Anolis sagrei: one gene and its partner. The protein of the gene in region 1 purifies or fractionates together with the protein of each later gene. This does not show direct contact. Links are inferred from orthologs where the notes say so. Each region holds a gene or a part of one and is shown in the gene's direction. Other genes may lie near its edges. The genes, in order: FBXL12 and STYX.

Region 1 (15,739 bases):
ATTAAATGAATCTACAAATAATCAAATCCACCAAAGTTAAACCAGCAATTATGGAATGCAGATTGAATTCATGCACTGTTTTGCTATCATGGCTAATGGCTGTTAAAATCTGCTCTTTATTTAGAACTTTGGCTATAGAGCCAGTAATTTATGACAGAATGATGCTTACAGGCTAGATGAATTATTGTCTGCTCTGGTTGGCAATGGCACAGAAGGATTATTCCCAATTCATTTAACAGAACAAATACTGTGTGTAGCAGTAATTTCTATTGTTATTCCAGATAACAAGCACTATTGTGAATTTACATTGGCAGTGATTAAGAACTTTCACTAAACCAGTAACAAGGCAGTAGTGAGAAGCCTTTATCCCTTAGAGATTTTGTTCTCCAACTCCTAACCATGCCAGTGTGGTAAAAGGGAATGTAGGCCAAAACATCTGAAAATCAAAGATTTCCCAACCTTATAATGAAGGCAACTTTTGTAAACCAAAAAATCAGGCCCTCCCAGTTGTATTCAAATGTTGTACATGTGGTAAGTAGTTGTGACTATATCAATTTGTAAATAATTAAGCTAACAAGAGGGGATTGTGGGATGGTACGCTCTTTGGATAGAATGATAAAGCTGTGCTACATTATTCTCACTATTTTTATTTATTTTTTTGGTCGTGTCAGGAGCGACTTGAGAGACTGCAAGTTGCTTCTGGTGTGAGAGAATTGGCCGTCTGCAAGGACGTTGCCCAGGGGACGCCCAGATTATTTGATGTTTTTTACCATCCTTGTGGGAGGCTTCTCTCATGTCCCTGCATGAGGAGCTGGAGCTGATAGAGGGAGCTCATCTGCCTCTCTCCAGATTCGAACCTGCAACCTGTCGGTCTTCAGCCCTACCGGCACAAAGGTTTAACCCACTGCGCCACCGGGGGCTCCTATTCTCACTATAACTTCCACAAATAACATGGTTAAAAATGCCTCAAAGACCACATCTAACACATGTTGTTATATCACATTTATTATAAACATTTGTATTTTTAAAAAACACACAGTTTGAGAAGATATCTTCTAGTTTATTGCCATAAGGGATAAAAATATTACTAGCCACAATTCATGCAACTAAACAAGCCATTGACACTTTCAATGAAATTAGAAATGAAGAAAAAAGAAAAGAGACCATGACAGATATGAAATCTTCCACAACCAAATTACTGATAGTATAGTTCTAGGTTCATGCCATCATGGATTTCATCTGAAAGTAAAAAGTTAAGGTGAATTCCCACAGGAAAACATTCAGGTCTAGTAAGTGAGCTTAATGTGTAAATCTAGAAAAGTCTACGATACTACCAAAATGGCATTTCCTTTGGAAACATCACAGATGCTGATCCTCATATTTTCAAACTGCCAGAAGCCATACACAGACCTACAAATTAACACTTTATCAGGAAACAACACACCAGATGTTGACATGAAATTTCACCAGTCTTCATTTTAGCTATACTAACCAAGGCTGCTGGGAATTTCAACACTAGATAGATACCAGTTGGCTGCTCCTGTTTTAAATACTGAGCAATATATAGTAAAAGGCAGAGACAGAGCCATTTCACATATTATCATCTCAGCCTTTACATTAAACTTTAATGGAAAACGTAATATATAAACATAGGACTTTTTATAAACTCAAGCACATTACACAAATCTGAAAAATGAAGCAGAGATATCAGCAAGCCTACATCTAGAACCCCTTTTCTTCTTTTGTAAGGCCAGCAAACTTTTCCATCAACCCAATATTTCTCAAATGGTGCTCCTCCAGATGTTTTGCACTTTAGCTCCCACAATTCCTAACAGCTAGTAAACTGGCTGGGATTTCTGGGAGTTGAAGTCCAAAACACCTGGAGGAGCACAGTTTGAGAAACACTGCATTAACCTATAGGCATGGTTAGGCAATCCTAATCTGCTATAGAAATCAAACATTTAACACTGCATGTTGTTACTAACAGATTTGTGTAAATGTTTCAAAGAGCCACTAGGTGGCAAAACCTTTACTGTTGCCAATTTTTGTGACCCCAACATTGAATTAAAAGGGTCTCATTTGAGGTCAGGACCCCCAGTTTAAGAAGTAGTGATATAAACTGTGACTTTTAAATAAGATTTTAAGACTAAGCCAGGGCATGTTGTGAAGTGTTTTGTGTATTTTGGTAGGTTTTTAATGGTTTTCACTATATTTAATACTGCTTTGTATAACTCTATTTTTGGCTGTATATGTTTTAGGTTTTGAATTGTCTATTGTATAGTTTTTAGGATTGTTTGTCACATTAAGTTCCTTTTAAGAGAGCAAAGGCAGAATTTCCCACTTTTATGCCTTATTCTGAAAACATTGTATTTTCCAAAAAAAAAAAAATCAAAATTTCATTATACAAAATGTGAAAGCCCCAAATCTGTTACTCTGCTTGTATCTGTGCACATCTAAACACATACACATTATTCAAGAAGAACTTAAAATGTCCACTTTCTATTCAGCTCTTGTTTGCATGATGAAAAAGGGAAGCAAGTTATAGAACTGGGTATTTTAATCAATTTTTGTCTAAAATTCAGTAAAACCTTTCTATGATCTCCAGATACAGTGTGGAATACAAATATTTTAAAAAGAGAATACATAAAGACCCAGTAGAATCAAAAATGTATATAAGTAAACTCTGGTCTATTGGCTAAGAGTATTTTGTGCAAGTCTTTTTGCAAAAGTATAAATAAATCGGAAATGATTTCAAAGCAACTATCCAAATAACATTACTGAATTTAAAGATGATTAATGAGTGCTGTTCCCTTCTCTGTACATATAGTAAAGCTCTTACTTATTGTCAACCACCAGGATTAAGGATACAGTCTGCCAGTGACACATGGTCCTTGAAAATTGTGTACCTATAACATTAAATATATATATAGTTAATTTTAATTTGCTACACAAAGCAAATTAACAATGACAATTATTTCTGTTAAAACATGAAATTAACATAATTACACACACAACAATCTGGGAACAATGGGCTTTACATGGAATTTTCCTTAAAGATGGCTCCAAACATTATCTTGCAGCAGAAGCAACTGGATGTTTGTAAGAGTAACTTCCTGTGATTATTATATATTACAATAAGATATAAGTTGCCATTCTATTTTGGGATGTAATGTAATTTGTGGATATGACTTCTACAGCTTTAAATGACTGAATCAAAAATATGCTAGGAGTGTCTCTTTCTATATGCCCTACAGACTTGAGATATTTAGGTCTATGTTGTTAACTGTCAAAAGTCTCATTATTGGAAATAGGGCAGAATATAAACAAAATAATAATACTCATCACCCCTCTGTTTCCACAACTTCCAGATGGAATGCCCTTGGACTGCATGGGTTCCTCATCTTGCCCATAGGGCTTTACTAGTGTTATTTCCCATCAGAGATTAGAGATAATATTTATTTATTTATTTATTTGATGCACTTATTAACCGCCATTCTCAGCCCATAAGGGCGACTCATGGCGGTGTACAGTACACATAAAAGACAATTACAAAAGCCAGTTCAACAACATCTAAACTAACAACACTTACAGACTACACTAAAAATCCGCTTCGTCTCATAGTGGAATCATAACCCGTCTCATATTCCTTATTCCATTCCAATTCTTCTTTACCGTAATGTTGGCACTTAATTAAATGCCCTCTCGAACAGCCATGTCTTAAGGCTTTTTCGAAAGGACATGAGGGAGGGCGCCTGTCTGATGTGTGCAGGGAGAGTGTTCCACAGCCGGGGGGCCACCACCGAGAAGGCCCTCTCCCTCGTCCCCGCCAGCCGTGCCTGTGAGGCAGGCGGGATCGAGAGAAGGGCCTCCCCAGACGATCTCAAGGTCCTCGTGGGCTCGTAGGCCAAGATGCGGTCCGAAAGGTATTTTGGGCCGGAACCGTTTAGGGCTTTGTAGGCCAAAACCAGCACCTTGAATTAGGTCCGGTAGCAAATCGGCAGCCAGTGGAGCTGGGACAACAGGGGCGTTGTGTGCTCCCTGCCACCCGCTCCAGTTAGTAACATGGCTGCCGCGCGCTGAACCAGCTACTCAAACTTTAAAGACCTTCCATGAAAATGACCTGCACTGTTGTGCTGAGCTTATTCTGCAGTGAATATGCATGGACAGAGCTATGCCTGAGAGGAAAATACATATATATACATATATATATGTATATATGTATGTATGTATATTTGGCCCTGTCCCATTGGTTCAGAGCAACCTACTCTTTCCTTGTTTCCAAGCACTGCTTGTTGCTAGAATGCGTCCTCAGGATCCTTCCTGAATTGGAATCTGGCCTGACTAACCCTGAATGAGGCAGTTCAGAGACCCACCAATAAGAAATAGAGCCTCTTCCCAAAGCTATCTTCCTTCAGAGGAAAGCAAAATTATTTTTGTTCCTTTTCTGATTGAGTTTATCTGGAATTCTGGAGTGACAATATTCTGCCATTGTGAGCTCTTGTTGAGTACAATTTGAAATTATTTAGTTTATAATTTTTATTGTTTTATGATCCTTTTGAATTATCTGAGAACCATTTTGGCTGGGAGGCAATAAATAAATATTTATAATAAAATACAATTGGTCTTCCACATTTGCAGGTCTTGTGTTCACAGCTTCAGTTGTAATCATCCCACATCAAAGTCTACAGACTTGCAGACTTTTGTGGGGAAATGCCAACTGAAACCATTGCTATTCTGCCCCCTGAAGTTACAGGGAGTGGAATAGCAATGATTTCAGTCACCATCAACCCCCAACCAAAGTCTGTAAACCTTTAGTGAAGGGTGGGTGGCAACTGACATTGTCGCTACTCTGCTCTCTGCTTCAAGAGACAGCACAGCAAATTCACTCGCATCCACAAATGCACAATGCTTAACCCGCAAATGTATTGGGATAGCTGTACTTTTGCACAGGAGGGAGAGGGGAGACAGCCTTTATATATTATCCTTGGGTCTCTTGTATTCAGGACACAAATGATGCTCTTGAACTCTGGCTCTCAGAACTAGACTAGGACAGTAATGCCATATACAATTCTGCCTGAAACAAAAGTACCATTCTTTTATTGAAATCTGTCCACATTTCTACTCACCATTTCTTTAGTACAATCTTGTCCCACCGAGTTCCAGTCTGGGCCGCAATTAGCTTTTTCAGGTCCCGGATGGTGTCATCAGAGCTGAGCAATAGTACCAGTTAAGCAAAATGTATCTCAAGTGGAGGCCTCTTTGTGATAAACTCTAAGAGACTAATGTTTTTTTCAGATTATTAAATGGAATACACATTGCGGTCGTGCATAAATCTTCTACCGGCCACCTCTCTCCCTCCCCTCTGTTTTCCTTACTTCCCACACATACATCTTTGGAACCATTATATGTGTTTTCCTAAATCCTGGAGAAAAAAAATATAAATATTTCAATATTTTAACATCCCTACCTAGGGTGGGTAATCTTTAAACATATATAATCAAAACACCTATTTAAAAAAAACACTCCTAAGTAGAGTTTTCTCCATCTTTGAACAAAATTTGTTTACTGCAACACAAAAAAAAGTTATGCTTGTGCAGTATCACATGACCCAAGGCTTCCTGCTTATTTTTTTTGCTTATTTTTTTAAAAAAGCACTACCTTCAGTTTAGAGATTATTAAACACCTGTCTAATGCTCTTTCTCACACACACACTTTCACTCTATACCAATCTTCTCCATTAAGCATGTGCCTTAATCCATTCTTATATCCATTCTGCTTGAGCTGTTGCTTTTTGAACTTTAACTTGCCTGACAACAGGCATTCTAGTCCAAATGTAGACAACGTATTAGAGTGATCCCATACTTGGGAGTAAACCAAGCGAGGGGAATTATAAAGCCTTCCAGATACTGTTGCTCAGAAAATTGCTGGAATAGGAGAAAGCATTATTTCAAAAGGAAGTGACTATTAAGACAATTTCTGAGTCATTTCTTATGTTCACAGTCGCCTACACTTATGTTACACTGTGCTCATATTTCAAGTGAACAGTTCTCATCACAGATATTTCCCTTGTTAAGTATCTGTTTTGTATGTGTCAAGAGTCTTCACAAATAAAACAGAAATTAAATATAAGGCTAGAAAATATAGTCTAGCTCCCCCTAGGTGTTCAAAAATTACATATTTCTGTTTTGGATACTTGCACTTGACTCTCACTTTCTTGCCCAGACGATCATTGCAAACCACTTCAATCATCCCGATCCGGTGTCAATGGTAATCAGTGTACAAGAAACGGCTGAGTTAGGAGACCTCTAGTCTCCTGCCTTTAGGGGTACTGTTGGAAGAAAGAAACAGAGAAAAATGTGATCAGTCACTTCAGATAGAGAAGGGGTTGTTTGCTTTTTCAAAGCACAATCTCAGGAAAAGAGAGTGAGGTCGGAATTCCCAAATTCTGAGTGAATCTAGCTGAGATTTGTACAATAATATCATACTCCCTACCGCACAGAACGTTATGGGTAAGTCCAGACATGCCTGTCTTCCACTTGTAACATCACAGGATTTTCCACCACTTCATCCATTTAATAGTGGATAACTGTACAATGTAATTCAACTGATAATACTATTGGCCCTTCATCTGGGAGCAACTAGGCCACTGAGTGCCCTGGGACAGGATACAAAATTAATTAATTGAGAAGCTCCGCTGCTGTACTCTTCCTTATTTAAACCTTCTCATATTTATATAAACTGTATTACATAACTCTTCCAGAATGGTTTATTAACCCCTATTAACTCCTAAACTATTGTATTGCTCAAAATAAGAAAAAATGGAAGCACTGACATCCAAGAGGTACAATCAATCATGGGAACACTACCATTTTAAGAAGCCATAAAAAGAATAGCAATTTCTATAATGTTATATGTGTTAGCCTGTCATAGCAAAAACAACGACTATAATGGTACCTTAAACACTAAGAAGTTTGGTATAAGGTTGGGGGGGGGGGAGGAGTCCAACCCTCTGTATAAATTTATGTCCAAGCTATGTGTATAAGGCATACACATAGGCCTAGTCTCTAGGTCGCCTGTTCTGCAATTCATTCACTTCCCCGACCCTATGACATGTTGTTTACACTATTCCTTGCTCAGCCCTTATATTTTTCAGCTCCATCTTAGCCATTGGTATTGCTGAACCTCACCCAATGGCACTATGATGTAATTAGTTTATATTTTTAGTGCGTTTTATCGGGATTTTTGCATTTTATGGAGTTTTTATTTTTCTCCATTTTTTATTATGTTGCAGCTAGGTTGCTCTATATTTTCCAATGTGTCTAGTCCTGATGTAAATTGTTTGTACTGTTTTCTTTTATCATTGAATGTTTGTCATGTTTTTTTGAAACCGCCCTGTGTCCCTTTGGGGAGATAAGGCAGTCTATAAATAAATTATTATCATTATTAAATAAACTATATTCTTGCTGTGAGTCTTCTGAATAACTGAAGATGTCAGCCATTGATGCAGAAGAAACGTTAGGAGAGAATGCTGCTGGAACACTGGCCATACAGCCCAAAAACTCACAACAACCCAGTGATTCTGGACATGACAGCCTTCAATACATTGAAATATAATAGAATTCTGTGTTCAGACTCCCATCTCCAAGATATCTCATTGTTCATTCGCTCAATCATTTCCGACTCTTCATGACTTCATGGACCAGTCCACTCCAGAGCCCCCTTTTGGCCATCACCACCCCCAGCTCCTTCAAGGTCAATCCAGTCCCTTCAAGGATTCCATCCATCCCTCTTGCCCTTGGTTGGCCCCTCTTCCTTTTTCCTTCCATTTTCCCCAGTATCATTGTCTCCTCTAAGCTTTCCTGTCTTCTCATGATGTGGCCAAAGTACTTCATCTTGGCTTCTACTCTCCTTCCCTCCAATGAGCAGCCAGGTTTTATTTCTTGAAGTGTGGACTGGATCTTCTTGCTGTCCAAGGCACTCTCGGCACTTTCCTCCAACGCCACATACATATATCTCATTATGTACATGCAAATACTCCAAAATCTGAAGAAATTTTAAAAAATCCAAAACACTTCTGGCACCAAGCATCTTGAGTAAAGGAAACTCAGCCTGTGTTGTGGCTGTTCAACTTCAAGCCATCTTTCAATTTGTCCTGAGGAGAAGCTATTGCGGGGCTTTCTTGGCAAAAATTGGGCTGGATCTACCCTGCCATATAATCCAGTTTCTGAAACCAGGTTATCTGATTTGAAGTGGTTTATATGAGTCTACACTGCCAAATAATCCAGTTTAAAGCAGATAACCTGGATTATATGGCAGGGTAGATGGGACCTGGCCTTGCTCAGAGGCCCAGAGAATGTGAATCGCTCAAAGAATCCATATAGTGTCTATAGCTGAGTGGGGGCTCAAACCTTAGACTCCAGAGGCGTGGTTCGACGCTGGCTCTGAATAATCCACCAATCAGAATCAGAATAATACCAGATGAAAGGAAAGAGTCCCTTCGCACCCGAATTTCAGTTCAGCCTGAAATTCCCCGGAGAAGTAAAAGAAGAGCCACCCACAGAAGCACAGCTAACCTCACTCTGGGGGCTTCGGGAGCTTTCCCGGCCACTGTCCGGGGCCTGGAGGGCTAAAGCAGCCGGCCTTGCTCCTTTCACCTACCCCAAGGAAAGCGGGCCGAAACAGTCACGGAGGAACTCACGCAGAAGCCCGAAGGGGGAAGAAAGCGGAAGCGGAAACGTGCCTCACACGCCCGGAAGCGGAAATCGGAGGAGCCTGGTCGAACGTTCCAAGGAAAGGCGGGAGAAGCTCTCAAATGGAAGGCATACACTCAGCCATGTCGGTGCCCAGCCTCGCCACACTCCCGGACTCGCTCCTGCTCGAGATCCTGGCGTGGCTGCCCCCACGTGACCGAGTGGGCGGAGCCAGGTGAGGGCTCCGGGCGGGGAGGGAGCTCTTCTCCCACCCTTAACTGCCGTGGGATTCTGGGGGATGTAGTTTAGTGAGGCCCGACAGCGCTCTGCTGAAGAGTCAGAAGGCTCCTCCCATTCTATTGGATGTTGCCATGGCAGCTGCGGTGTGATGTGATAGGGCAGTCCGCATCACTCTCCTTCCTGGCGTCCCAAAGGTTTCTCCAAGGCTCAGAAGAGGTTCTGTTAGTCCAGTGGTTCTCAACCTTCCTAAGGCCGCGACCCCGTAATACAGTTCCTCATGTTGTGGTGACCCCCAATCATAAAAATTATTGTTGTTGCTACTTCAGAACTACTATTATGAATTGTAATGTAAATATCTGATATGCAGGATGTATTCTCATTCACTGGACCAAATTGGACAAATACTCAATATGCCTAAATTTGAATACCGGTGGGGTTGGGAAGGGATTGATTTTGATATTTGGAAGTTATAGTTGCTGGGATTTATAGTTTGCCTACAATCAAAGAGCATTCTGAGCTCCATCAACAATGGAATTGAACCAATTTTGGCACACAGACCTCCAATGACCAAAAGAAATATATTGGAAGGGTTTAGTGGGCACTGACCTTGAGTTTGGGAGTTGTAGTTCACATACATCCAGAGAGCACTGTGGACTCAAAAAATGATAGATCTGGGCCAAACTTGGCCCGAATACTCAATATGCCCAAATGTGAACACTAGTGGAGTTTGGGGAAAATAGGCCTTGACATTTGGGAGTTGTTGTTGCTGGGATTTATAGTTCACCTACAATCAAAGAGCATTCTGAACTCCACCAATGATAGAATTGGGCCAAACTTCCCACATAGAACCCCCATGACCAACAGAAAATACTGTGGTTTTTGATGGTCTTTGGGGACCCCTCTGACACCCCCTCATGACCCCCCCAGGGGTCCCGACCCCCAGGTTGAGAAACACTGTGTTAGTCCCTTCCTCAGATATATCGCCTACGGCACTTGGTATTCGTTGGTGGTCTCCCTTCCAGGTGCTAACCAGGGCTGAGCCTGCTTAACTTCCAAGGCCAGACAGAATCTGGCACTTTTAGACTAAATGCCCAGGGTGTATAGCAGCGTTTCTCGACCTGGGGGTGAGGACCCCTGTGGGGGATCACGAGGGAATGGCAAAAGGGTCTCCAAAGACCAGCAGAAAACACAGCGTATGCTAATGGCCAGACTAACTTATAACAGGAGGAATACAAGAGAGTCAGTAATATAGAGGAGTCTTGTCGAAGGCTTTCATGTCCGGAATCACTGGGTTGTTGTAGGTTTTCTCAGGCTATATGGCCATGTTCTAGAGGCATTTTCTCCTGACGTTTCACCTGCATCTATGGCAAGCATCCTCTGAGAATGCTTGCCATAGATGCAGGCGAAACATCAGGAGAAAATGCCTCTAGAACATGGCCATATAGCCCGAAAAAACCTACAACCAACATAGAGGAGCTCCATTAGGAATTTAGGTTTACCGTGAATAAGGATAGATAAATAGGCTTAAAGGCTTCATAGTGTTTCAGTGTTGGAAGTCATGGTGAAGGGTGCACGGGTGTGGGGAAGAGGTTTTATTTTGTGTGGGATAAGGGTTCTGGGATGAGTGTGTGGTTTGCTGTGTGTAAAATGCCATGTGCTGATTTTCTGAATGTAATGGGAAAAAATTGAATAGAAAGCTTTGACTGAAAGTAGTGGATAACATACAGAAATAGCAAGTCTCTGTGTTTTAAGTTAAGTAACTGATAATAATTTGTACTCAATTTCAAAATTAACTGGTTGGTTGATTAAGATAGATAGGCATGTACACGTCAAAAATATTGTTACCTGATTATATCTGTCACGATTCGCTTTTCTGTTATGTGCCATAACCAAAATAAACAGTTAAATAAAACAACATTTTCTATTGGTATTGGGGGGTTTGTGTGGGAAGTTTGGCCCAATTCTATCATTGGTGGGGTTCAGAACGCTCTTTGATTGTAGGTGAACTATAAATCCCAGCAACTCCAACTCCCCAATGTCAAGGTGTATATTCTCCAAACTCCACCTGTGTTCACATTTGGGCATATTGAGTATCCATGCCAAGTTTGCTCAAGATCCATCATTGAGTCCACAGTGCTCTCTGGACATAGGTGAACTATAACTCCAAAACTCAAGGGCAATGCCCACCAAACCCTTCCTTCTGTTGGTTATGGGAGTTTTTTGTGCCAAGTTTGGTTCCGTTCCATCGTTGGTGGAGTTTAGAATGCTTTTTGATTGTAGATCAACTATAAATCCCAGCAATACAACTAACAAATGACAAAATCAACCCCCCCCCCCCAATTCCACTAGTGTTCAAATTAGGGTGTATTGGGTATTTGTGCCAAATTTGCTCCAGTGAATGAAAATACATCATGAATATCAGATATTTACATTATGATTCATAACAGTAGCAAAATTACAGTTCTGAAGTAGCAACTAAAATAGTTTTATGGTTGGGGGTCACCACAACATGAGGAAACTGTATCAAGGGGTTGGGGCATTAGGAAGGTTGAGAACTACTGGTCTATAGTGAGCGATAGGATGCCTGTTCCATCTAGGTATTTGGGACTGCAGGTCCCTCCAGTGGTTGGTCATGGTGCTTGGGGTTTCTGGGAGTTGTTGACAGGCAAAATGAGGCACAGGGGTTCTGCCTCTTTATGGAACATGCATAATGGGGAATCAATTTATATTGTCCTGAAAACAACACCTGCAGAACTTCTTTCTGCACAGCCGTTAAAGGAACAGGAAATAGTCATCTTATTTCAGCTGACAAGGTTCTTGGAAACTAAATTCACTAGAAAGGAGGAAACCATTAAAATGAACAAATTCTGGCTACCAGTATTAACTAAACTCTAAAATCAGGACAGTAAATAAAGAACAACACTCAAAAACTAGGGGAATTCCAGACAAGAAGCAATTAGGGCCAGCTAACACTGCCAAACAAAGGATTCCCCCAGGCAGGAAGCAACCAGGCTTTGAAGCTGCAAGGCCATTAAATGCTAATCAAGGTGGCCAGTTGCAACATTCACACTTTCCTCAAGCAGACAAGAGTTCTTTCTCCCACCCTGTATATTCCACAGATCTATAGATCTCACTTGCCTAGTTTCCAACAGACCTCACAACCTCTAAGGATCCCTGGCATAGATGTGGGTGAAACATCAGGAGATAATGTTTCTGGAACATGGCCAGACAGCCCGGAAAACTCACAGCAACCCAGTGAATTCCATCTGTTTTATATTCATGCATTTGATTGTTGTTTAACTTGTATTGTGTTTTTACCATGTTGGAAGCCGCTTTGGGTCCCCATTGTGGGAGAAAAGCACATATAAATAAGGATTTATTATTATTATTATTATTAGTAGTAGTAGTAGTAGTAGTAGTTGTTGTATAAAGTAGAAAAGAATCTGGTGGCCACTAGATCTTCATTCCTAGTTTAGAGCGCAATATGGACAGCAACATAAAACTAACTCCTTTGTTAAAGATACAGGAGCCTTTGTGACAGGGAAGGGAGATATTCTTGCCTTCTGCTTTGTTCTCCCCCCCCCCCCCCCCCCCCGCCGCTTTGACTATGAAACACCAGGCCTGCTTTGGAGCCTTGTAAGATATCAAGGCAACTCTCTAAGCGCTACTGTGTACCTTCAAAGCAGCATGTTTGCTCCAGCAGTGCAGAAGGGCTGCTCCGAAGGCATGTCTAGAGCAGCTATCAAAGGGAAACAAAAGCTATAAGCTTACAAATGGTTAGTTGGGGACCCTAATGCATCTTGTTGCAGTGTGATGAAGTCCTGGCATTCATTTTTGGGGATGTGGCCCTTTTGATCCAATAAAAATAAGCTGAAACGGTGTTATTTCTATTTGGCTTGCCTAAGGAAATGCAAGTTAAACACTTAAGAATGGCTCAGGTGCAGAAGTTCTTCAAAATCCTGTTGTCCCTATGTTTCCCTCTTCAATGGGTGTCCTGAAATGTAGTTTCAAAGAAGTCCCTGGCCTACATATGTTGAGAGGTGTTCATCAGTGGAGAGAGTTTTTGGACATTGCCAAAATCCATTCGCCCAATATGAAGTTCTAGTTTGTGCAGAGAAGTAACCCCTCATCCAGACTGAATTCTGAAACAATTTATTTTTCTATATAAGTGCTTACTATGTATATGCTGTTGCTCCCTCCTCTCCATGCACACCAACAATGTGGCATTGCTTCACAGTTACCTCCAATTAGTTTCCTCACTACTTCTGCAACAGGATCCTTGACTACAGTTTTCAAAGAAGCAGCTGTGTTAATTTCTTGCAGCATAAAAAGGAAGGAGGGAGTGGGAAACAGCATCACCTTTAAAACAAACTAGTTTTTATTTCAATATCAACTTTTGTGGATGTAAACCCACTTGTTCAGATCCTCTGCATTGAAGCCACCCAGTCACTGCCTTTGGGTGAGAAGTACTAGTTGATAACAACTGATCACATCTTTCTACAGGGTTTGCAAGAGGTGGCGTCGCCTGGTGCGGGACAAGTTTCTGTGGAGGCATTTGGATCTAACTTCTTACAAGGTAACAATGGTCAAACTCCAGCACATTAGTAGGTATTTGTGAGCAAGGATCAGGAATTGCTGGGGTACTTCCTTGGCCATTGGGGTCCCTCAGGACTCTGTGTTGCCCCCCAACATATACATGAAACCGCTGGGAGAGATCATCCAGAATTTTGGAGTGTGATGCCATCTGTACACAGATGAACTGTAATACCATTACTCCTTTCCACCTAAAGCCAAGGAATCCGTTTCTATGCTAAATTAGTCTGTGGCAGCTGTAATGGACTGGATGAGGGCAAACAAATTGAAGCTTCATCCAGACAAGACAGAAGTTGGCCAATCAGTCATAACACCAATCTAGTAATAGAGATTCAGCATGTGTTAGATGGGGTCACACTCCCCCTGAAAACACAGGTTCACAGTTTGGGGGTACTCTAAATTTCAGCTCTGAACCTGGAGGCCCAGGTATTAGCAGTGACCAGGAATGCTTTTGTATAAAGCTAGCGCACCAACTGCACCCATTCATGGAGAAGGTAGATCTGGCCACGGTTGCAAATGTCTTCATTACATCCCAGTTAGACTACTGTAATGCACTCTGCATGGTGCTGCCTTTGAAAAGTGCTCAGAAACTTCAGTTAGTCCAAAGAGCAGCAGCCAGACTGCTGACTGAGACTGGCTACAGGGAGTGGACAATTCTGCTGTTACTACAGCTCCACTGGCTGCCAGCCTATTTCTGGACACAATTCAAAGTGCTGGTTTTGACCTACAAAGCCCTGTACAGCTTCTGTCCAGGTTATTTGAAGGACCATATCTCTCTCTATTAACTTCTCAGATATCTACAATCAACTGGGAAGGCCTTCTCTCTGTCCCACCACCCGATTAAGTGCATTTGGTGGGAACAAGTGAGGGCCTTTTTGGTGGATGCTCCCAGTATGTGGAACTCCCTCCTCCCCCTACCAAAAAACCAGGATTGGCCCTTCCCTGCTTGCATTCTGTGCCAGCAAGCCTTTAAGGTAGAAAGATGGGCATGCTGCTGGGGAGGTTGTGTGTGGGATTCTGGGGTGGGGAATTGTGATTTTTAAATGTAAGTTTAATTTATTATATTTTAACTATAGTTTAACTTTATATCTACAAAGTGCTATTTAATTTTTTTTTTTTTAAATTATTTGCTTTGTTTTAAACTTTGATCAGATTGTGTAGCTGTTAGACAACTTGAGTCTCCATAGGGAAAAAGCCGGGGTAGAAATAAAGTTAATACATTAAAAAATAGCTTTGCACTGTGGTGCAGTTACCTTTTCAGCCTCCAAAAGCCATTGCCAACACACTTTCAGGAAGGGCTAAAACCATATGTTTCTGCATTCATGTCATTTCCGACCTACATCAAATCTTTTAATGGAGTTTTCTTGGCAAAGTCTGCTCATGGGGGGAGGTTGCCCTTGACTTCCTCTCAGGCCAGGTATGACTTGCTCAAGATCCCCCAGTGGGTTTTCATGGCTGAGCAGGGATTTCTCTGTTATTATGTGGGTAAAGACTAAGAGTCTGAAGAATTTTGCAGCCAGTATAACAGCATATCTCCCATGCAGTACGATTTCAGATGCGTTTTGAATTTGGGAGTTATAAACTTTAACAGTTTCATTGTTAGCTGCAGAGCTGGGTGCATGTTGCTCTTTGCCTCCATGTTTCCTTGTTTTGGGTCACAAAGCATGCCACAGCCATCTTTAATTGGCTATTTATTTATTTTTTTTGTCGTGTCAGGAGCAACCGCTCCTGTTGTGAGAGAATTGGCCGTCTGCAAGAACGTTGCCCAGGGGACGCCTGGATGATTTTTGATGTTTTATCATCCTTGTGGGAGGCTTCTGTCATGTCCCCGCACGAGGAGCTGGAGCTAATAGAGGGAACTCACCCACCTCTCCCCGGATTCGAACCTGCGACCTGTCGGGCTTCAGTCCTGCCGGCACAGTGCTTTAACCCACTGGCTATGCCACATTGATTGGCTATGAACCTTCCCTATTAGTTACATCCTCAGGGTTCAGAGCAGATTATAATCTTGTACAGTGGAACTTTCCTTACATGAAAGATTCACAATTTACATTATAAAAAGCCCACCCACATGGTTAGATACTTTTTGACTGCCACGAGGAAGCATCTGAGATATAGATGTACTTATTTGGAGAGGGCAGAATATTCTAACACATGGTCACAATCACCAAACTACAACGTTTATGATTCTTAGGGGCCCATCTACATGGGCACCT
Region 2 (15,946 bases), on another chromosome or scaffold:
GAGCAATGACTACAACTTCCATTGCCTCCCCCATCATCCCAATGCGTCAGGCTGCAATTTCCATTCTCCCCAATGCCTAAGGAGGATGGGATTCCAGTCTGGTTGACAATATCCCACAATGACTGGTAGATTGCTGCAGTTGAGATAGACAGAAACCCAAATCTAGGCATTGGGCATTGACCTTGAGTTTGGGAGTTGTAGTGGCTGGGATTTATAGTTCACCTACAATCAAAGAGCATTCTGAACTCCACCAATGATAGAATTGAACCAAGCTTGGCACACTGAACTCCCATGACCAACAGAAAATACTGGAAGGGTTTGGTGGACATTGACCTTGAGTTTGGGAGTTGTAGTTGCTGGGATTTATAGTTCACCTACAATTAAAGAGCATTCTGAACTCCACCAATGATAGAACTGAACCAAGCTTGGCACACTGAACTCCCATGATCAACAGAAAATACTGGAAGAGTATGGTAGGCATTGACCTTGAGTTTGGGAGCTGTAGTTGCTGGGATTTATAGTACACCTACAATCATAGAGCATTCTGAACTCCACCAATGATAGAATTGAACCAAGCTTGGCACACTGAACTCCCATGACCAATAGAATATACTGGAAGCATTGACCTTGAGTTTGGTAGTTGTAGTTGCTGGGATTTATAGCTCACCTACAATCAAAGAGCATTCTGAACTCCACCAATGATAGAATTGAACCAAGCTTGGCACACTGAACTCCCACGACCAACAGAAAATACCGGAAGGGTTTGGTGGGCATTGACCTTGAGTTTGGGAGTTGTAGTTCACCTACATCCAGAAAGCACTGTGGACTCAAACAATGATGGATCTGGACCAAACTTGGCATGGATACTCAATATGCCCAAATGTGGACACTGATGGGCTTTGGGGAAAATAGACCTTGACATTTGGGAGTTGTAGTTGCTGGGATTTATAGTTCACCTGCAATCAAAGAGCATTCTGAACTCCACTGATGATAGAATTGAGCCAAGCTTGGCACACTGAACTCCCATGACCAATAGAATATACTGGAAGGGTTTGGTGGGCATTGACCTTGAGTTTGGGAGTTGTAGTGGCTGTGATTTATAGCTCACCTACAATCAAAGAGCATTCTGAACTCCACCAATGATAGAACTGAACCAAGCTTGGCACACTGAACTCCCATGATCAACAGAATATACTGGAAGGGTTTGGTTGGTATTGACCTTGAGTTTGGGAGTTGTAGTTGCTGGGATTTATAGTTCACCTACAATCAAAGAGCATTCTGAATGCCACCAATGATGGAATTGGACCAAGCTTGGCACACTGAACTCTCATGACCAATAGAATATACTGGAAGGGTTTTGGTGGGCATTGACCTTGAGTTTGGGAGTTGTAGTTGCTGGGATTTATAGTTCACCTACAATCAAAGAGCATTCTGAATTCCACCTGTGATAGAATTGAACCAAGCTTGGCACACTGAACTCCCATGACCAACAGAAAATACTGGAAGGGTTTGGTTGGTATTGACCTTGAGTTTGGGAGTTGTAGTTGCTGGGATTTATAGTTCACCTACAATCAAAGAGCATTCTGAACTCCACCGATGATAGAATTGAACCAAGCTTGGCACACTGAACTCCCATGATCAACAGAATATACTGGAAGGGTTTGGTTGGTATTGACCTTGAGTTTGGGAGTTGTAGTTGCTGGGATTTATAGTTCGCCTACAATCAAAGAGCATTCTGAACTCCACCAATGATAGAATTGAACCAAGCTTGGTACACTGAACTCCCATGACCAACAGAAAATACTGGAAGGGTTTGGTGGGCATTGACCTTGAGTTTGGGAATTGTAGTTGCTGGGATTTGTAGTTCACCTACGATCAAAGAGCATTCTGAACTCCACCAATGATAGAATTGAACCAAGCTTGGTACACTGAACTCCCATGACCAACAGAATATAATGGAAGGGTTTGGTGGGCATTGACCTTGAGTTTGGGAGTTGTAGTTGCTGGGATTTATAGTTCACCTACAATCAAAGAGCATTCTGAACTCCACCGATGATAGAATTGAACCAAACTTGGCACACTGAACTCCCATGATCAACAGAATATACTGGAAGGGTTTGGTTGGTATTGACCTTGAGTTTGGGAGTTGTAGTTGCTGGGATTTATAGTTCGCCTACAATCAAAGAGCATTCTGAACTCCACCAATGATAGAACTGAACCAAGCTTGGCATACTGAACTCCCATGACCAATAGAATATACTGGAAGGGTTTGGTGGGCATTGATCTTGAGTTTGGGAGTTGTAGTTTACCTACATCCAAGGGCACTGTGAACTCAAACAATGATGGATCTGGAGCAAATTTGGCAGAAATACTCAATATGCCAGAATATGAACACTGATGGACTTTGAGGAAAATAGACCTTGACATTTGGGAGTTGTAGTTGCTGGGATTTATAGTTCACCTGCAATCAAAGAGCATTCTGAACTCCACTGATGATAGAATTGAGCCAAGCTTGGCACACTGAACTCCCATGACCAATAGAATATACTGGAAGGGTTTGGTGGGCATTGACCTTGAGTTTGGGAGTTGTAGTTACTGGGATTTATAGTTCACCTGCAATCAAAGAGCATTCTGAACTCCACCAATGACAGAATTGAACCAAGCTTGGCACACTGAATTCCCATGACCAATAGAATATACTGTAAGGGTTTGGTGGGCATTGACCTTGAGTTTGGGTGTTGTAGTTCACCTACATCCAGAGAGCACTGTGGACTCAAACAATGATGGATCTGGACCAAACGTGGCATGGATACGCAATATGCCCAATTGTGAACACTGATGGACTTTGGGGAAAATAGACCTTGATATTTGGGAGTTGTGGTTGCTGGGATTTATAGTTCACCTACAATCAAAGAGCATTCTGAACTCCTCCGATGATGGAATTGAACCAAGCTTGGCACACTGAACTCCCGTGATCAATAGAATATACTGGAAGGGTTTGGTGGGCATTGACTTTGAGTTTGGGAGTTCACCTACATCCAGAGAGCACTGTGAACTCAAACAATGATGGATCTGGACCAAACTTGGCATGGATAGCCAATATGCCCAAATGTGGACACTGATGGGCTTTGGGGAAAATAGACCTTGACATTTGGGAGTTGTAGTTGCTGGGATTTATAGTTCACCTACAATCAAAGAGCATTCTGAACTCCACCGATTATAGAATTGAACCAAGCTTGGCACACTGAACTCCCATGACCAACATAAAATACTGGAAGGGTATGGTGGGCATTGACCTTGAGTTTGGGAGTTGTAGTTGCTGGGATTTATAGCTCACCTACAATCAAAGAGCATTCTGAACTCCACCAATGACAGAATTGAATCAAGCTTGGCACACTGAACTCCCATGACCAACAGAAAATACTGGAAGGGTTTGGTGGGCATTGACCTTGAGTTTGGGCGTTGTAGTTCACCTACATCCAGAGGGCACTGTGGACTCAAACAATGATGGATCTGGACCAAAGTTGGCATGGATACGCAATATGCCCAATTGTGAACACTGATGGGCTTTGGGGAAAATAGACCTTGATATTTGGGAGTTATAGTTGCTGGGATTTATAGTTCACCTACAATCAAAGAGCATTCTGAACTCCACCAATGATGGAATTGAATTAAGCTTGACACAGGAGCCTCTCTACGGAGCTGGAGCCTATAATTAGCTCTGGTTCAGGAGATGTCAGGCAGGGAAAGGAAGAGAGACAAAGCCTTGCGCGGCCTGAGTAGCGGCGCATGCAGAGCTGAAGGGTTGGATTAAGGCCACTATGTGGTTAGCTGATGGGTGGGGACCCAGCCCCTCGGCCATGATGCGACCTACATTCTCACTGGCTTGGATGCGCGTGGAAACCAGTTCCAGCTGCAAAAGGGCAAGCAGTATATACAGTATATGTTTTCAGGTCTGCAAAACTCAGTCATTGCTCTTCATCTCGATTTCGTATCAGCAATAGGGCAGGACTGGATTCAAGCAACAGCAATGTTTACATCGGCCTTTAATAGGGTATTAATGGGGCAGCTTGGGTGTGATCCTGGACTCATCGCTGAGCTTGAAACTCCAGGTTTCGGCGGTGACCAGGGGAGTCCGTACCTCAGGAAGTCTGACTTGGCCACGGTAGTCCACGCTCTGATTACATCCTGTATAGACTACTGCAACGCTCTCTACGTGGGGCTGCCTTTGAAGACTGTTCGGAAGCTTCAATTGGTCCAACGGACAGCAACCAGGTTGTTAACAGGAGCAGCACTCAAGGAGCGCACAACTCCTCTGTTGCACCAGCTCCACTGGCTCCCAGTTTGCTACCGGGCACAATTGAAAGTGCTGGCTTTAGCCTTTAAAGCCCTAAATGGTTCTGGCCCAATTTACCTGTCTGAATGCATCTCTTCCTATAAACCATCTAGGTGTTTAAGATCATCTGGAGAGGCCCTGCTCTTGGTCCCGCCTTCTTCGCAGATCCGACTGGCGGGAACGAGAGACAGGGCCTTCTCAGTGGTGCCCCCCCCCCCCCCCCCGGCTATGGAACGCCCTCCTAGAGACATTAGATCTGTCCCCTATTGTGACTCAGCTGGAATCTCAGAGTGATAGTGTCAATGATTCTGATGGGGATGGTGGGTTTCAGATGCACAGTCAGTTGCAAAGTTATGATGTCCCTGTGTTAGACGAAGAAGACCAGGAACAGGGAGTAGAAGTTGTTTCCCACAGCAAGGGATGACGCTGGGGAAAAGGAAACTACTGAGAGCCAGGTGCATGATTTAGGAAGAGAAGATAGTTCTCAGCCTGATAATGAGAGGAAAAGCATTAACGAGGAAATTGACCTTGATGGAGCCGGAGGCTTAGATAGAGCTGATCGGTTGGAATTTAAGATCCGAAGGAGTGTCAGGATCTGGGTTGTTGTAGGTTTTTCCGGGCTATATGGCCATGTTCTGGAGGCAATTTTTCTACTGACGTTTTGCCTGCATCTATGGCAAGCATCCTCAGAGGTAGTGAGGATTATTATGATATATTATATCATAATATATAATATAATATATAATACAATAGAGCTCCTTTGAGTCTCCTTGTGGAGAGAAAAAGCAGGATATGATTATTATTAATATTATATTAATGTTAATATTAATAATAATAATATATAATATATAATAGAACCACTTTGAGTTTCTTTATGGAGAGAAAAAGCAGGGTATAAATAACAATAAATAATATATAATATATTAACATAATATAACATGAAATAAAGATGGCAGGGACCTAACAGAAGCTGAAGAGATCAAGAGAAGGTGGCGAGACTATACAGAAGATCTGTATAGGAAGGATAATAATATCGAGGATAGTTTTGACGGTGTGGTGAATGAATTAGAACCAGACATCCTGAGGAGTGAGGTTGAATGGGCCTTAAGAAGCATTGCTAACAACAAGGCAGCAGGAGACGACGGGATCCCAGCTGAACTGTTTAAAATCTTAAAAGATGATGCTGTCAAGGTGATGCATGCCATTTGCCAGCAAATATGGAAAACATATTTGAATGGCCATCAGACTGGAAAAAATCAACTTATATCCCCATACCAAAAAAGGGAAATGCGAAAGACTGCTCCAACTTCCGTACAGTGGCCCTTATTTCTCATGCAAGTAAGGTAATGCTCAAGATCCTGCAAGGAAGACTCCAGCAAGACATGGAGCGAGAGTTGCCAGATGTTCAAGCTGGGTTTAGAAAAGGCAGAGGAACCAGAGACCAGATTGCCAATATCCGCTGGATAATGGAGAAAGGCAGGGAGTTTCAGAAAAACATCTACTTCTGCTTCATTGACTATTCTAAAGCCTTTGACTGTGTGGATCATAATAAATTGTGGCAAGTTCTTAGTGGGATGGGCATCCCAAGCCACCTTGTCTCTCTCCTGAGGAATCTGTACAAGGACCAAGAAGCAACAGTCAGAACTGACCACGGAACAGGAGACTGGTTCAAGATTGGGAAAGGTGTACGGCAAGGCTGCATCCTCTCACCCAACCTTTTTAACTTGTATGCAGAACACATCATACGATGTGCGGGGCTTGATGAATGCAAAGCTGGGGTGAAAATTGCTGGAAGAAACATTAGCAACCTCAGATATGCAGATGACACCACTCTGATGGCCGAAAGCGAGGAGGAGCTGAGGAGCCTTCTAATCAAGGTGAAAGAAGAAAGCGCAAAAGCCGGGTTGCAGCTAAACGTCAAAAAAACCAAGATTATGGCAACAAGAATGATTGACAACTGGGAAAGAGAGGGAGAAACCGTGGAGGCCGTGACAGACTTTGTATTTCTAGGTGCAAAGATGACTGCAGATGCAGACTGTGGCCAGGAAATCAGAAGACGCTTACTTCTTGGGAGGAGAGCAATGTCCAGTCTCGATAAAATAGTGAAGAGTAGAGACATCAGACTGGCAACCAAGATCCATTGCCTAGTCAAAGCCATGGTCTTCCCTGTAGTCACCTACGGATGTGAGAGCTGGACCTTAGGGAAGGCTGAGCGAAGGAAGATCGATGCTTTTGAGCTGTGGTGTTGGAGGAAAGTTCTGAGAGTGCCTTGGACTGCGAGAAGATCCAACCAGTCCATCCTCCAGGAAAGAAAACCCGACTGCTCACTGGAGGGAAGGATACTAGAGACAAAGTGGAAGTCCTTTGGCCACATCATGAGGAGACAGGAAAGCCTAGAGAAGACAATTATGCTGGGGAAAGTGGAAGGCAAAAGGAAGAGGGGCCGACCAAGGGCAAGATGGATGGATGGCATCCTTGAAGTGACTGGACTGACCTTGAGGGAGCTGGGGGTGGTAACGGCCGACAGGGAGCTCTGGCGTGGGCTGGTCCATGAGGTCACGAAGAGTCGGAGACGACTGAACGAATGAACAACAACAACATGAAATGAAATGAAAAGAGAAGAATCTGAGCCAGTTTGGTGACTTTGATTGCATCCACACCTTACAAATAATGCAGTCTGACACCACTTTAACTGCTTTGACTCAATGCTCCTTTCCCTTTAAATCCTAGCCCCGCCCCCTATTTTGCATTGTGAGCAGCATGATCTGTTCTGTCAAGCTGCCGCTAACCACGCCCACTCCTTATAAGGCGCGCGTCTAATGGCCACGCCCCTTTCCCCCTTGCCGTTGGAGAGAGTGTGTGGGCCCCGTAGGAAGGGAAAAAGGGATGAAATGGGGCTAGTACGCATGCGCAGAGCAAATAGCCTTCGAGAGCGTCGCCGGCGACTATTGAGGAGCGAGTGGGCGTGGCTAGTGTGGAGAAGAAAATAAGGACAGAAAGTGGGCGTGGCTAGCTATAAGGGGAGGGGGAAGCGAGGGAGACGAGTTTGTGGATAAGTGACAGTTGGGGTGGGCGTGGCCTAGAGAGGAAAAAGCGAAAAGTGCGCATGCGCAGGAGGGAAACCTCAGAAACGCTGTTTGTGAGGAGAAAGCAGATGGTCCAAAAGTGGGCGTGGCAAGCGGGGCGAAAAAAATAAGGATCTAAAGTGGGCGTGGCTAGATAAAAAGTGAGGGAGAAGGAGGTTGTGGATGAGTGACAGCTGGTGTGGGCGTGGCTTAGAGGAGAGAAATGCGAGGAGTGCGCGCACGCATGCGCAGAAGGGAAACCTCGGGAGCGCGCTGCTGCTGAGGAGAAGACAGAATTAACCGTTGGGGAGGGGGAGGGAGGACCGAGAGGGGGCGTGGCTACGAAGAAAAACAGCGAGGAGGAGTGCGCGTGCGCGGCAGGGAAAACGACAAGGACTGAGAGTGGGCGTGACTTAGGGCCAATTGAGGGCGGGCTGAGACTGTGGCTTTGTGACAGTTGAAAGAGGGCTGAAAGTGGGCGTGGCTTGGGTAAATTGGGTGTTATTGAGTGGGCGTGGCTTAGCTACGGTTGAGAGGGGACTGAAAGTGGGCGTGGTCTGGGTACAGTTGAGGCAGGATTGTAGAGTGGGCGTGGCTTAGAGAGTTGAGAGAGGACAGAGTGGGTGGGGCTTAGGGACAATTGAGGGAGGACAGAGCTGGCGTGGTTTAGCGGCAGCTGAGAGGACTGAAAATGGGCGTGGCTTAGTGGTAGTTGAGAGGACTGAGAGTAGGCGTGGCTTAGCGACAGATGAGAGGAGTGAAAGTGGGCGTGGCTTAGCAACAGATGAGAGGAGTGAAAGTGGGTGTGGTTTAGCGACAGATTAGACGGCTGAAAGTGGGCGTGGCTTGGGGAGAGTTGAAGGAGTGCAGAGTGGGCGTGGCTTAGTGATTGAAAGTGGGAGTGGCTTGGGGAGACAGTTTCGAGAGTACAGTTTCGAGAGTGTCAATTGAGAGGCCTGAAAGTGGGTGTGGCTTGGTAGCAGTTGAGGCAGGATCGAGCGTGGGCGTGGCTTAGGGACAGTCGAGGGAGGAGTGAGAGTGGGCGTGGCGTAGAAGGAAAGACAAAGCGAGAAGTGCGCGTGCGCAGAAAGAATACAAAAAAGCCTGAAAGTGGGCGTGGTTTAGGGACCGCTGAAGAGAAGGATTGGGAATGGGCGTGGCTTAGAGGCAGTTGAGAGAGGACCGAAAGTGGGAGTGGCTTGGGTAAATTGAGGCAGGGATTAAAGTGGGCGTGGCTTAGGGAGGGCTGGGGGAGGGGTGGTTTAAGTGGCAGTTGAGAGAGGGCCGAAAGTGGGCGTGGCTTGAGTAAATAAAGGCAGGGATTAGAGTAGGCGTGGTTTAGGACGGTTGAGAGAGGGCGTGGCTTAAGTGACAGTTGAGAGAGGGCCGAAAGTGGGCGTGGCTTGGGTGAATTGAGGCCGGGATTAGGACGGCTGAGAGGGGGCGTGGCTTAAGTGACAGTTGAGAGGGGGCCGAAAGTGGGCGTGGCTTGGGTAAATTGAGGCCGAGGTTAGAGTGGGCGTGGCTTAGGGAGGGCTGAGGGAGAGGGCGTGGCTTAAGTGACAGTTGAGAGAGGGCCGAAAGTGGGCTTGGCTTGGGTAAATTGAGGCCGAGGTTGGAGTGGACGTGGCTTAGGGAGGGCTGAGGGAGAGGGCGTGGATTAAGTGACAGTTGAGAGGGGCCGAAAGTGGGCGTGGCTTGGGTAAATTGAGGCCGGGATTAGAGTGGGCGTGGCTTAGGGAGGGCTGAGGGAGGGGGTGTCTTCAGTGACAGTTGAGAGAAGGCCGAAAGTGGGCGTGGCTTGGGTAACTCGAGGCCGGGATTTGGATGGCTGAGAGGGGGCGTGGTTTAAGTGACAGTTGAGAGAAGGCCAAAAGTGGGCGTGGCTTGTGTAACTCGAGGCCGGGATTAGGATGGCTGAGAGGGGGCGTGGCTTAAGTGACAGTTGGAGAGGGCCGAAAGTGGGCGTGGCTTGGGTAAATTGAAGCAGGGAGTAGAGTGGGCGTGGCTTGGGCAGCTCGAGGCCGGGTTTAGAGTGAGCGTGGTTTAGGACGGCTGAGAGAGTGGCTTAAGTGACAGTTGAGAGAAGGCCGAAAGTGGGCGTGGCTTGGGTAACTCGAGGCCGGGTTTAGAGTGGGCGTGGCTTAGAGAGGGAAAGCGAGGAGGAGTGCGCGTGCGCGGTGCTTGTGAGGCGAAAGAAGGCAGGAAGGAAGGAGTGACCGGGCGGAGTGGGAGGGGCCGGCTCGCTCGCTCGCTCGCTCGCTCGCTTGCTTGCCAGCCAGCAGCATGGCGGCTGGGCGCGAGCCGCCGCCGCTGCCTCCTCTTCTTCTTCTCCCTTCTGCCTTCCCTTCCCTCCTCCTCCTCCTTCCTGGCGGCCTGGCGTCTTCCTCCGCGGGAGCCCCTCGTAGGCCCTCGCTCGGCCTCTTCCTTGGCCCCCTTCTTCTTCTTCCCTTCTGAGAGGAGAGGAGAAAGGAGGCAGCCTGACAGAAAAAGAGAGAGAGAGAGAGAGAGAAAGGGAGGAGGAGGAGGTCGTCGCCGGTCCCTCGCCGCCCGGCCATGGAGCTGGCCAAGCCGGTCTTCCCCGCGCTGCCCCAGCCCAAAGAGGACTCCGAGGTGAGCCCACCCTGGGGTTGTGTAGGGAGGGAGGCAGGCCGGGGAGGGGGAGGGGAAAGGGAGGGCACAGGTGCCTCACCTGCAAGGGGAGGGGGAGGAGGAGGGGGAGGGGATCAACAACCACACGAGAAGGAGATGGCCATTCTGTTGTAGATCCCCCCCAAAAGAAGGAGACTCAAAGCGGCTTACAGGAAAACCCAGGCAAGACCCTTTATTTGGAAGAATAGTATTATTATTATTATTATTATTATTATTGTGTATACTCTGTTTTTTCCCTCCAGAAAGAGAGAGATTCAAGGCAATACAATTTATTGTTGTAGTTATTATTATTATTATTATTCTCTGCATTTTTTCTCTGGAAAATGCAGAGAAAAACCAAGACAATAGAATTTGTTGTTGTTGTTGTTATTATTATTTTCACTGCATTTTCTCTCCAGAAAAAGAGAGGTTCAAGGCAATACCCTGCATTTTTTTCTCCAGGAAATGCAGAGAAAAACCAAGGCAGTAGAATGTATTGTATTTATTATTATTATTATTATTATTTTCTCTGCATTTCTCTCCAGAAAGAGAGAGGTTCAAAGTGGTTTACAGTAAAACCAAGGCAATACAATTGTTGTTGTTGTTATTATTATTATTATTATTATTATTATTATTATTATGTATACTCTGTATTTCCCTCCAGAAAGAGAGAGATTCAAGGCAATACAATTTATTATTGTTGTTATTATTATTTTCTCCAGAAAATGCAGAGAAAAACCAAGGCAGTAGAATGTATTGTATTTATTATTCTTATTATTATTATTATGTATAGCCTGCATTTTTTTCTCCTGAAAATTCAGAGAAAAACCAAGGCAATAGAATTTATTGTATTTATTATTATTATTATTATTATTATTATTATTATTATTCTCTCTGCATTTTCTCTTTAGAAAGAGAGAGGTTTAAAGTGGCTTACAGTAAAACCAAGGCAATACAATTTATTGTATTTATTATTATTATTATTATTTTATCTGCATTTTCTCTCCAGAAAGAGAGGTTCAAAGTGGCTTACAGTAAAACCAAGGCAATACAATTTATTGTATTTATTATAGTTGTAATTATTATTATGCCTACCCTGCATTTTCTCTCTAGAAAGAGAGAGGTTCAAAGTAGCTTACAGAAAAACCAAGGCAATACAATTTATTGCATATATTTTACTGACACAAAAGCACAGTATGTCACAGCAAACGAGAACTATATGCTGCAAAGGTGTGTGCCAAAGGGAATAACCATTTGAAATAATAATAACAATAATAATCATCATCATCATCATCATTACATATCATTGCATAATACTGTTATAAAATATTTATGTAACACAATATAGTCATACATATTGATATATGTTGACACATAATATGAATATACTATAATAGGATGTTGTTGTTCATTCGTTCAGTCATCTCCGACTCTTCGTGACCTCATGGACCAGCCCACGATATAATAGGATATCAGTATATAATATAAGGTGGGCAAAAGTCACTTGCAAGAGGGCGGGCTGAAGTGAACAATATTAATAATAATTATTATATTATCATACTACCACATTATTGTATTATAATAATAGTATAAAATAGTAATATAGCATAAACATTAAATATTATTGATATAATTGTATATTATATATTTATGTTATATATGAATATATCATATTACTATAGTATCATATAAGATTAATATATGATATAGAGTGGACCAAAAGGCATGAAGCTTTTTAACACATCTAATGTAAATTTAATTCTTGTATATACTGTGTATGATGCTATGGGTATTAAACACAATTTACAGAATTTTATTTCTCCCAGATAATGTAAATGTTGTCATCAGACATTTAGGGAATGATGAGGGACAGGCTGCTGAGGATGGTGTGCCTGGGATTTGTGGGGAGCTGTGTAGTTTTTCAATGCAGTTTTAATTGTATGTTTACGTTTATGTTTCATAACACAAAATATTTCAATCATTTAAAAATATCTTTTAATGCCTTTGCTCTGTTTTTAATTATATCTTTTGCTGTAAGTTGTCTTGAGTACCTGTGTCTTAAGAAAAGTGGAGTAGATATATAGAAAATAATAATAATTTCCCCTTTAAATTGTGTTCTCCTTCTCCCACTTCAAGGCTTGCTCTGAGACTTTGGGTTCTCTTCTTTTCTGCTTCAAAATATATGTGATGGGGAAGTAGTCTCGAATGTGCTGCTTGGTTCTTCCCCCTTCCCTTCCCTTCTTTCCTTCTCTTTATGATGAATTGGGATCATTAAAAATGAGTGACCTGAGAGAACTTCCTCAATGTGTGCCTTTGTGTGTGTTACAATGCCTTTGATTTTCTTTACACATTACACCTGAAGCTGGTTAGGGATTTTTAAAAAATTAGCACAGATTTTCATTCCTTCCTACACATTGAGTATCCTTTCTCCAAAATGCCTAGGACCAGAGGTGATTTGGATTTTGGATTCCCCTTCCCCTCCTACCCTGATTTTAGAATATCTGTGTTTGTGTGTATGTGCATAACCTTGGAAATGGGTACCAAGCTGAAACACAAATTCATTTGTTTCATGCAGACCTTATAGACATAGCTTGAAGGTAATTGTATGGATATTTTCCAGCGTGAAACAAATTTGGTGCACACTGAACCAACAAAATCAATATTTCAGTTGCCCATGTGGATAGTTTTAGATTTTGGAGCATTTGGGATTTTGGGATTCCAGAAAAAGGATACTCATACTCCAGTATATAAGATAACATTGTGGCACTTATAGCCTGCAGCATCTTCTAGGAAGCCCTTTACTCCTCCCTCCTGCAACTGTCATGTATGGATTGTATGACGAGTCTGCAGTCATATACTCATTTGGGGACGAGAACGAAGAAACCCAAATCTCTCAAGGGATCTTTTTCATTTTCCTGCTCTTTCAAGTTGCTTATTTTTTATTATTAATATTTTTTTTATTATTTAATAGTGCATGCAGAAAACAAAACAAATGAACAAAAGGAAAAAATGAGCAAAGGAAAAATATGCAAAAGAGTCAATATTCAGTGCTCATTAAACATAAGTATAACCAGATTTGGTTGTACAATTATTTATACCTTAACATTACATAACCCTCTGTCCCCCACCCATGAACCCCAACCCCTGACCTCCGAAACCCCTCAAAACAGGATCACATTACTAAACAACAACTACCCAAATACCTTCTTTCACTGAATCCCCTTTATGGCAATCTTCAAGTTTACCTTTGTCTTCTTTTCCAAATACCCAAGTGCCAGCCTCCATTTGTTTGCAAATTCTTCATTATTTCCTCCTCTGCTGCTATTTGTCAGCTTGGCCATTTGGATATAATCAAGGTGCATATTGTTCAGTCTCTTCTTCCTAGACTGTTTTGGGATTTGTGAACCATCTTGGAGTCACAGTTATGGGGAAAGGCATGGTTATGGTAGTAGTAGTAGTGACCTGTATACCTCTCAATCAGCAATGTCCAATTTCTTCCATCTGATGAAGGTACCCAGCAGGTACCTTGACTTGTTCCTACTTACAAATTGCATTTCAGTAAGACAGAGTGAATAATAAAGCTAGTAGGAATATAGGTCTTTTGTCTTACTTATAACCATTTTTGCATCTACAACACTTAAGAAAATTTAATTTTTCTGCTGCATTTGTGGTGTTCTGAGCAGGGTTGTTGTTGTTCTTGAATCTGTTGTCTCCTCCCAGGACACTGGCTGTTGTGAATGCTCAATAGCACCTCTTTTTCACTTTCTCCTGCATTTTCCATTCATCCGACATGGTAGATTTTTTAACATTTTCATATATTTGTCTTGGTACTATGGATGTTCCCAGTTGTTACCCTGTGTAAATTTAGTGTCCAGAATTTGAAGGGTGTTGTTAATTTTTTTCCACTTCATGAACACCCTACATAGCACACAGGTCATCCTTGGTAGTCTTCTCATTATTTAATTCATTGTTTCTCAACCTTCCTAATGACACGACCCCTTAATACGGTTCCTCATGTTGTGATGACCCACAACCATAAAATTACTTTCCTTGCTACTTTATATCTGTAATTTTACTACTGTTATGAATCGTAATGTAAATATCTGATATGCAGGATGTATTTTCATTCACTGAACCTAATTTGGCACAAATACCTGATTTGCCCAAAGTGGAATACTGATGGGATTGGGGGAGATTGATTTTGTCATTTGGGAGTTGTAATTGCTGGGATTTATAGTTCACCTACAATCAAAGAGCATTCTGAACTCCACCAATGATGGAATTCGACCAAACTTGGCACCCAGAACTCCCATGAGCATCAGAAAATACTGGAAGAGTTTGGTGGGCATTGACATTGAGTTTTGGAATTGTAGTTCACCTACATCCAGAGAGCACTGTGGAATCAAAACATGATAGAGCTGGACCAAACTTGGCATGGATACTCAGTATGCCCAAATGTGAACACAGGTGGAGTTTGGGGAAAATAGACATTGATATTTGGGAGTTGTAGTGTCTGGGATTCATAATTCAGCTACAATCAAAGAACATTCTGAACCTCACCAACGACAGAATTGGGCCAAACCTTCCACAAAACCCCCATGCCCGACAAAAAATACCCCTTTGACACCCCTTCGCAGCCCCCTGCCCAGGGGTCCTCACCCCCAGGTTGAGAAATGCTGACCTAAAGGATTTTGTCCTTGACTTATTATTTTATTTATTAAAATGTGTATAAGTTGCCTTTTATCATAAACATTACGGGATAAAACTGTCAAAACAAAAAGGATGGTGCAAACAAATAGCACTGCATCCAGGAATCTTTAAAATTGTTAGTGATGAATTTGTCTCTGTATATCTACACCTGAATGTACACTTTTACTAATGGGGGGAAGACCTGTACTGTAAGTGTCATATCTCTATGGGTTGCTAATACACCAACGTGAGGAGCAATCATGGCAAGGGTATCCTTTATGACAGAGACAGGAAACATGTGCTTCAAGATATTCTTGGACTGAAATTCCCCTCATCCCCCATTGTTGCCCAAACAGAGTCAGGTTGCTGGAAATTGCACTCCAGAAGCATTGAGGGTGATACATTTACCATCCATTATATGTAACGTCCCTTCCACTTTTAACTGCTTTTTACTTTTCTTGCTGGAATGGCTTTTATCACTCTCACATATATACTTTGTCGTAGTTTTTTCCCCCTCAGAACCATTTGGGTTTTTTTGTGCCTCTGCTCTGTAGATTCCCTCCTGTTTCATTTTTGGAATACACATTTCAGTTCCTTTCTATAAACAATTCCGAGCTTCACAGCAGCATTCAAGGGGATTTCCCCCTAGACACAATGACTCCTAGTATTTATTTTTAAATTATGATTTTATTGTTGGAGAATTTTGAATAGAAGATGGGTGGCCACCTTTCAGGGGTGCTTTAGCTGTAGATTCTTGTATTGCCAGGGCTTGTGGCAAGCAAACCTTGGTAAACTTTCCAACTTCCATGATTCTTGGAAGCTGCTTCCTAGTGAGTCTGATATGTAGACTAGTTGACATATCAAATGATGGCATCCCCCCCTCCCCAATGTGATTTTTTTTCCTGGAACTCCCTTTAACTGTTTATCTGTTTATCAGTTTAGACTTTTCTCTAATCTGTTGTTGCTGTTATCCTAAGAACTCAGTTGTACAAGCTGTTGTCACACCTGTTGATAAGATTTTGGTTATCCTGCAGTGTTAAATATCTCCTATTACTTGCAGAAGATCCTTTGTTTTAGGAAATACGTTGTGCTGGATGGAAAATTAGCAACCTGTAACTCTTTTTTGTGGTCTCTTCAAGGCCAAAGTATAGTATAAATCCATGGCAACTTGGTTATGAAGGTTTAAAAGCATAGTGGGTCTATGGTACCCACAGACATTCTGCTT

The links.
Region 2: the proteins of FBXL12 (region 1) and STYX purify together in Homo sapiens (affinity purification with mass spectrometry; 4 studies listed by BioGRID and IntAct, with this or other methods). This does not show direct contact. The link is inferred for Anolis sagrei from reciprocal best matches to the Homo sapiens genes FBXL12 and STYX.

The regions. Positions count from the first base shown.
Region 1 is NC_090022.1:147,591,243-147,606,981, reverse strand, and holds the start of FBXL12 (F-box/LRR-repeat protein 12), read left to right. Parts: upstream 1-8,812; coding exon 8,813-8,925; intron 8,926-13,433; coding exon 13,434-13,506; intron 13,507-15,739. Other genes in the region: UBL5 (ubiquitin-like protein 5), read right to left, coding at 1,196-1,239, 2,869-2,906, 5,127-5,210, 6,194-6,249. UniProt on the Homo sapiens protein: Substrate-recognition component of the SCF (SKP1-CUL1-F-box protein)-type E3 ubiquitin ligase complex.
Region 2 is NC_090021.1:339,032,039-339,047,984, forward strand, and holds the start of STYX (serine/threonine/tyrosine-interacting protein), read left to right. Parts: upstream 1-9,554; 5' UTR 9,555-9,957; coding exon 9,958-10,014; intron 10,015-15,946. UniProt on the Homo sapiens protein: Catalytically inactive phosphatase. Acts as a nuclear anchor for MAPK1/MAPK3 (ERK1/ERK2). Modulates cell-fate decisions and cell migration by spatiotemporal regulation of MAPK1/MAPK3 (ERK1/ERK2).